2 linked regions of the Ovis aries genome follow. The protein of the gene in region 1 interacts with the protein of each later gene in a pairwise test. Links are inferred from orthologs where the notes say so. Each region holds a gene or a part of one and is shown in the gene's direction. Other genes may lie near its edges.

Region 1 (3,651 bases):
CTACCTTCTGCTGCCATCTCAGCTACTGGGCAGCTCACGGCCACGGCCTTGGCCCTGCCCCTACTCATTGTGCCAGAGTCTGGCCTGAAGGTGCCCATTGTCTTGTGGTGCAGCCTGTGTCAGGGCCATGAGACAAGCCATCCCCACTGTCTCCAGGCCACACCCTCTGGAGCTGTCTCTGGGCTGTGGGTAATCTGGTATGAACGCCTTGTCCCACCAGAACCGGGATGTGGAAGCCAGCATCCCGAATTGGTTGCCTCTTGTCCTTCTCATCCTTTGCCTAAGGTTATCTTGCCAGGGCTACCTCCTAGCAAGCTGCTTGGGGCAAGTCCAGATAGAACTCCTGCTGGATCTTCAGTACCGCCTCCCCTCTATAGATTGCTATGGTGACACCATGATTGGCAGTAGAGGGATCCCCCCTGAGAGCATCACTTCCTCTGCTTAGTCTAGTCTCCACAGAGCAGGCAGCTGGGGATGGAGCTAGCCTTCTCTCAGTCTCCTTTGTGTACTCTGCTTCCTCTGCTCCTTCCTTAGGGGTCACTGTGCTTCAGTGCTCTGGCTCAGACCCTCTTTTCTCATTCAGCACTTATGCATGCACGCATGCTAAGTTGCTTCAGTCATGTCTGACTCTTTGCAACCCTACAGACCATAGCCCACCAGGCTCCTGTGTCCATGGGATTCTCCAGGCAAGAATACTGGAGTGGGTCGCCATGCCCTCCTCCCATTCGACACTTAATTCTTGGGCACTTTCCAGCTATTCCCATAGCTGTTTGCTGATGATTCCAAAATCTACGTCTCTTGCTCTAACCTCTCCATGGGGCTTTAGGTTTCCATATCCAGTTCTCTCTGGACACTTCTACCTGCCTCTTTCCCTGGGTACCTCTGATTCAATATGCCTAACGTTGAACTTAACACCTTGTGGCCTGCCGTTAAATTTATTACTGTCCCCATCCATCCTTTCCTCCAGGTCTCAGTAAGTATTACCACCAGGGAGAGTTGTTCTTGACTGTTCGCCATCCTCCTGTCCCTGTTTTGTCTCTGAGTTCCCTCTGAGTTCATTCCCTCCCTACCTGCCACCAGACTCCTTAGGAGTTAGGATTTGGTGGCAGGGGGTGGGGTGGAGGGTGGAGGTGGATGCTCTCTGGAGCTGTTGCTGGCTCCTGAAGTCTTTAACAAGACTCTTAAGCGTGCGTTGCCTGTTCTGTCTCCTGTCCTCATTCAGTCTCCCCTGATACTGATGGTATGTATTAGTTTCCTACAGCTGCCATGCTAAGGTACCACACCCTGGCACACGCGACAGAGATTCATTGTCTCACAGTTGTGGAGCCTGGAGGTCTGAAATCACGGTCTCAGCTCCCTCTGAAACCTGTAGGTGCACCCTTCCTTGCTGCCTCCCAGCTTCGGGTGCTTTGCTGGCAGTCTTTGGTGCTCTGTTGGCTGGCTGCATAGTTCCAGCCGCTCCCTTTGTTGTCACATGTCACCCTCCCTGTAGGTCTCTGTCTTTACATGGATGTCTTCTTTTAAGAACATCAGTCATATTGTATTAGGGCCACCCCCTACTCTCTGATCTAATCTGCAGTGACCCTGTTTCCAAATCAGGTCACATTCTGAGCTACTAAGGTTAGGGCTTCAACACACCTTTTTTGGGGAAACATAATTCAATCAATAGCTGTCTTATTCTCTGCCCCCTGCAAATTTATTTGTCCTCTCCACATGCAAAACACGTTCACCTCATCCTAACCTCCCTAAAAGTCTTAAGCCATTCAAGCATCAACTCTAAGTCCAACTGGAGGACACAGGTTCAGCTACATGTACCTTTTTGTATATCCTTTCCAGAGTTCTCCTGGAGGTCTCTGACCTAAACGTATTCCCAAATTGGGCAATGTCAAACCTGCCACACAGGCCTAGCCCCTGATCTCTTTCTTGCTTTGGGTTTGATGTGGAAAGGGGGGCTTTGATGGACAACAGAGAGATTGTGCCTTTCTCCCAAAGCTGGCGGGAGATGGGCAGACAGTTCTGATGCATCTCCTCACCTTCTGCCTCCAGGTACGTGAACACACTCCTGAAACTCATCCCACTGGTGCTGGGACTGCAGGACCAACTGCGACAGGCAGTACAGAATGGGGACATGGAGACCTCCCACGGCATCTGCCGCATTGCTGTGGCTCTGGGCGAGAACCACTCCCGGTGAGGACAGGGGCAACTGCAGGTGGGATAGCAGGGCCCTCGAAGAAGTAAGGGAGGTGGAAGGACCTCCCCATGCCTTCTCCCTCCCAGGGCCTTGCTGGACCAAGTGGAGCACTGGCAGAGCTTCCTGGCCCTCGTCAACATGATCATGTTCTGCACGGGCATCCCTGGCCACTTCCCTGTCAACGAGACCACCAGCTCCCTGACCCTCACCTTCTGGTACACACTGCAGGTGTGTCACGTGACCTTCAGTGGACCTGGGCCGTGATGGCAGAAGGGGCATCACAGCATCTGTGGCTAACTCTCCTCCCTGGTTCTCTCAGGATGACATTCTGTCCTTTGAGGCAGAGAAACAGGCTGTGTACCAGCAGGTGTACCGGCCAGTCTACTTCCAGCTGGTGGATGTGCTTCTGCACAAGGCCCAGTTCCCTTCTGATGAAGAATATGGGTTCTGGTCCTCCGATGAGAAGGAGCAGTTCCGGATTTACAGGTGACAGTAGCAGGCCAATCCCAGCTCTAAAGGGAGTCCTGAGATAATGAAGGCAATGAGGGGAGGGGTCCAAGGCCAGGTTCCCTGAATCCTGGGCCACCCTTCTCTGTTCTCTAGGCACTTTGGCAGGGCTGTGAGGGAATCGGGGTGGGCTCCTGTGCTTGGGGGAGGCATCTAGGCAGTGTATAAGGCCTTCATCTGCTTCTTAGGGTGGACATCTCAGACACGCTCATGTATGTCTATGAGATGCTGGGGGCCGAGCTCCTCAGCAACCTCTATGACAAGCTGGGTCGTTTGCTCACCAGCTCAGAGGAGCCCTACTCCTGGCAGGTACCTCCCCAGCCTGATTCCCTCAGCCCTCCCAGGTCTGTCACATCCTCCTCCTCAGCCAAGCCGGTGGCATCCTCTTTCCCCAGCACACAGAGGCCCTGCTCTACGGCTTCCAGTCCATTGCAGAGACCATCGATGTCAACTACTCTGACGTGGTGCCTGGGCTCATTGGGCTCATCCCACGGATCAGCATCAGCAACGTGCAGCTGGCGGACACTGTCATGTTCACCATCGGTGAGCCCTGGCCCACACCCGTGAGCATACCCCCAGAGCCACCGTGCGCAGCCCCAAGCCGACCTGCTGGGTCCTGTGCAAAGTGGGAGATACAAGTGCGTGCACACACAGTCAGAAACTGCAACCAGTGGACTGTCCTGGCATGTCGAGGGGTCCTTGCTACAGTGCGCTGAGCTGCAGTTCAGTGAGGCTACTTCACTGCCACTGAAACAGTGCCGCTGGGCCTCTACCGAGTAACTCCTTCCCACTTAGCAGCAGTAAGGTCATGTTTGGGCCCGTGCGTGCATATTTGCCCATCCCATGCTCTGAACACGCAGCGCTCTCTCTGTTCAGGGGCTCCAGCTCCACCCTGCCAGATCTGCCTGCTTTGCAGGGACCTGGCACGCAGCCAGCCTGGCCTGCCTCAGATG
Region 2 (3,651 bases), on another chromosome or scaffold:
TCTGTCTCTCTCTTATCTCCCTTCCTCTCTCCCCTTGTCCGCTGACCCTCTTGTCTCTTTTCCTCTCGGCACTCTTTTTCTGTCCTTCTTGCACCTTTCTGGCCTATTCCTCTTTGGAGCCTCTTTCTAGCCCCACCTTTCTCTACCCCCTCCCCTCTTCTCCTCCCTCAACCAGACCTCTGCTCCTTCCCCTCCTGTCTCCCTCCCCCCTGGTCATCATCCGCTCTGCCTCTCCTCCCCGCTTCCCCCCACATCCCGTCCTCATCCACCTTCCCTGTGCCCCCCTCCACCCTCTGCCCTGGCCCCCCATCCACCCTCCAGCCCCCAGCCAAGCGCCCTAAATAGCATTGAGGCGCCTGCTCTTCGGACAGTGATTAATGATAGCAGAGCAGAGGGGTTAACACACTTCACTGAAAAGTCTGTTGACTGGGCTTCTTGTAACACAATGTGGCCCGCTGCACGCCTCAAGAGAATCCTTTTGTTGTCCGCGCTCATTGTGGCCTCGAAATTCTGCCCACGAAAGTTTGCCAACGCTCCTGCCCCAGGAGTTTAATAGTTTCCCTTACTCGCGGGGCATTGTGCTGTGCTGAAAAGCAGCCCCTCGCTATTCAAGTGTTGGTGGTCATCTCAATAGATCTCCAAGGGCCCATATGGTGGCCAGTGCTGATGAATCCGCCTGTTTAAATGGGGGAGAAAGTTGGGGTTTTAAAACATTTCAAAGTTCCTGAAAAGATCCCACTAGATCCTGTCACAATTCCCTGAACTCTTTGAAGGCACTGCCTATTGTCTCCCGGTTATAAATGATATTCCTGGCCAAGTCGATTCCCACCAAGGCGCCCCAGAGGCTCCTCCCCCCAGGGCCAAGTCGCTAGGATGGGGAGGGGGGCAGCCTCGATTGGTATCTCTTGGGGGCCTTAGGACCCAAGACCAAGGACCCAGGAGGCAGTGGCCCTGGAGGCCTAGTGAGAACTGAATCCTTTCCTCTCCAGCAAGGCGCAAAAGGAGACAGCTTGCCCAAGTGCACATCTTGCCCTCCAAGCAGCAAAGGAAAACAATAAAACTTTCCCCTGTTTAATGATAGAAATTACATTAAAAGTGGTGGAAATGCCCTAATTAAAAATGTACCACTTAAATGATATGCCAAGGATTCAGCTGCAGCATAGCATATTTAGCTAGTTAGTGAACTCTCTACTATTTCTTTTTTAAAATTACACGTTAAAAATTTAAAAGAAATCTTACTTTTCTCTGGTGCAACACATTACAAAGAATGGACAGTCCTTTTATCTAAATATAAAATTCCATTTTCAGCAATTATAGCCTGTTCTTGGTGATGATATAATTACAGCTGTGCTCGTAATAGGTGTCAAGGCAAAGCGCACTCATACAATAGTTGAATAAAACTGCAGAACAATGCGAGCACTTCTAAATTCACAACCTTTAAAATGAAATTGACTGTGCAGAATTCAAATAAAAACTAGATAAATATTTTTTTTTAAGATTACAAGCTTGGTTTGGTTTCTTAATAGCATTTTCTACAAACCTATCAACATCTAATTGATTAGGTAGGAATTACTGATTATAGATCAGCTGAAATCTTGAACATTACTCTTCTATTTTCCCAACACAGCCACAGGTAAATAAATTCTGCAAGGAGAGGGAGCTGGGTGAAGCATGTGGAGGGTCGAGGTTAGTTATGAAAGATCATTTTAATTGGAAACTTCACCACTCATTTTGTCATTCACAGAAATGCCATTCTACAAGTATCTATGTTGCAGAGTCTCATCATAATAAAAACAGAAAATGGTGGTCAGGTAACATGTGTCACTAATGTCTTTTGAAGGCTGACAGTTACCTCGGGAATGTTTTGGTGAGACTGTGAGAATAGACTGCTCTTGGAGTTTATGGCTGTGTGAGGCCCCTTTTGGAGACTCCAAGTTATTCCAAATTTCTCTTACTGTCCTGTTCTTTTTGGTCCAGATGGCTGCCAGCAGCAGGAAGGAGGGGGAGAGAATACCAACTCCATCAGTTCCAATGGAGAAGATTCAGATGAGGCCCAAATGCGACTTCAGCTGAAGCGGAAGCTGCAAAGAAATAGAACATCCTTTACCCAAGAGCAAATTGAGGCCCTGGAGAAAGGTGATGGAGTTTTTCAAAGTAGAGAAGCAGTAAATCAAAGTAAATGCCACATCTTCAGTACAAAGAGCTAAATTTAGTCAGGGCCCTTGCACAGAGGCCTGAAAAGGTTTCCTTTTTCTTTCTTTCTTTTCAGGGCATCTCTTTTAGTGTATGTGTTTTCTTTCTTTTCATGTACCAGTAATTCAAAGATGAAAAATCTGACTTCTCATAAAGAAAGAATGATGATTTGGCTAATTCAGGCCACAGAAGAGACCTTGAATGAATGTCATTAAACAAAAAAATAGAACATGGTTCTGATGGGATAGTTCTTCCAAGTACAGTCAATGCTAATAGTAGTAGCATTTTAAAGGGAATTGGTTGAAAGTGATGGAAGTCAGGAGGTGGAAATCAGCTTGATCCAGGCTTTTGTGTAGTTCTGGTACAACACAGAAAATGCAACTTACTCTTTCAGAGTTTGAGAGAACCCATTATCCAGATGTGTTTGCCCGAGAAAGACTAGCGGCCAAAATAGATCTACCTGAAGCGAGGATACAGGTACCAGGGGACTGTGTGTTCATGTGTTCTTGTGACTCATACCATTTGCCTTTTTTAGAGACCCAGGGGCTTCTAAGGAATGTCCTTTGTTTGTATAAATAGAGACAGATTTAGTTTGCTAAATGCTTAGCTGTCACTCGGGGCCTGGGGGAGGAGGACAGTGGCTCTGTCAGGGATGGGGCGGAGCTGGGAGCAGGCACAGGGCTCACCTGTTCTGTCTGATTTCCAGGTATGGTTTTCTAATCGAAGGGCCAAATGGAGAAGAGAAGAAAAGCTGAGGAATCAGAGAAGACAAGCCAGCAACACACCTAGTCATATTCCTATCAGCAGTAGTTTCAGCACCAGTGTCTACCAACCCATCCCACAACCCACCACGCCTGGTAACTGGAGATATTAATTCTACTGATCAGTGTGTTTCAGCCTTTTTGTCCTTGGCTCTGACTCTCACCACGACTGTTGTGTTCTTCTCCCTGCAGTTTCCTCCTTCACCTCTGGCTCCATGTTGGGCCGAACAGACACAGCCCTCACAAACACGTACAGTGCTCTGCCGCCCATGCCCAGCTTCACCATGGCGAATAATCTGCCTATGCAAGTAAGTGAGGCCGGTGGTTGCCCACTTAACGGGTCCCTGGGAGAGGAGGTTAGGCGCAGGTTGGGGCATGCAGACCTCATTGGCCCTGTGTTTACCCTTGGGAGACTTTCTCAGTACAGTGATTGGCTTGACCAGTGAAGTCTAAGATGAAAGCAGTCAATCCAGTCTTTTAGTTGATTGATTAACTGATTGATTCATGCCTTTAATAAAACAAAAACTTGATTTTCAGTCCAGTTAATCTGCTTTTTGCTCTTTGGGAATGTCAGCTTGATGATGTTGGATGAGAATGGGGCATGCTTTAGGGACCAGTGTGAAACTTGGACCAGAAAATGAAAATAATGCTGGCAAATTATTAGCTAGTAAGGGGTTAATATGGGTAAAACAGGTTT

Evidence for each region. The genes of interacting proteins can lie anywhere in the genome.
Region 2: the proteins of IPO13 (region 1) and PAX6 interact in a two-hybrid assay, tested with the Homo sapiens proteins (2 studies listed by BioGRID and IntAct). The link is inferred for Ovis aries from reciprocal best matches to the Homo sapiens genes IPO13 and PAX6.

Annotation. Positions count from the first base shown.
Region 1 is NC_056054.1:18,594,811-18,598,461, forward strand, and holds part of IPO13 (importin-13), read left to right. Parts: intron 1-2,046; coding exon 2,047-2,187; intron 2,188-2,277; coding exon 2,278-2,419; intron 2,420-2,510; coding exon 2,511-2,677; intron 2,678-2,886; coding exon 2,887-3,007; intron 3,008-3,093; coding exon 3,094-3,241; intron 3,242-3,651. UniProt on the Homo sapiens protein: Functions in nuclear protein import as nuclear transport receptor. Serves as receptor for nuclear localization signals (NLS) in cargo substrates.
Region 2 is NC_056068.1:61,381,274-61,384,924, reverse strand, and holds part of PAX6 (paired box protein Pax-6), read left to right. Parts: intron 1-1,977; coding exon 1,978-2,136; intron 2,137-2,587; coding exon 2,588-2,670; intron 2,671-2,899; coding exon 2,900-3,050; intron 3,051-3,146; coding exon 3,147-3,262; intron 3,263-3,651. UniProt on the Homo sapiens protein: Transcription factor with important functions in the development of the eye, nose, central nervous system and pancreas. Required for the differentiation of pancreatic islet alpha cells.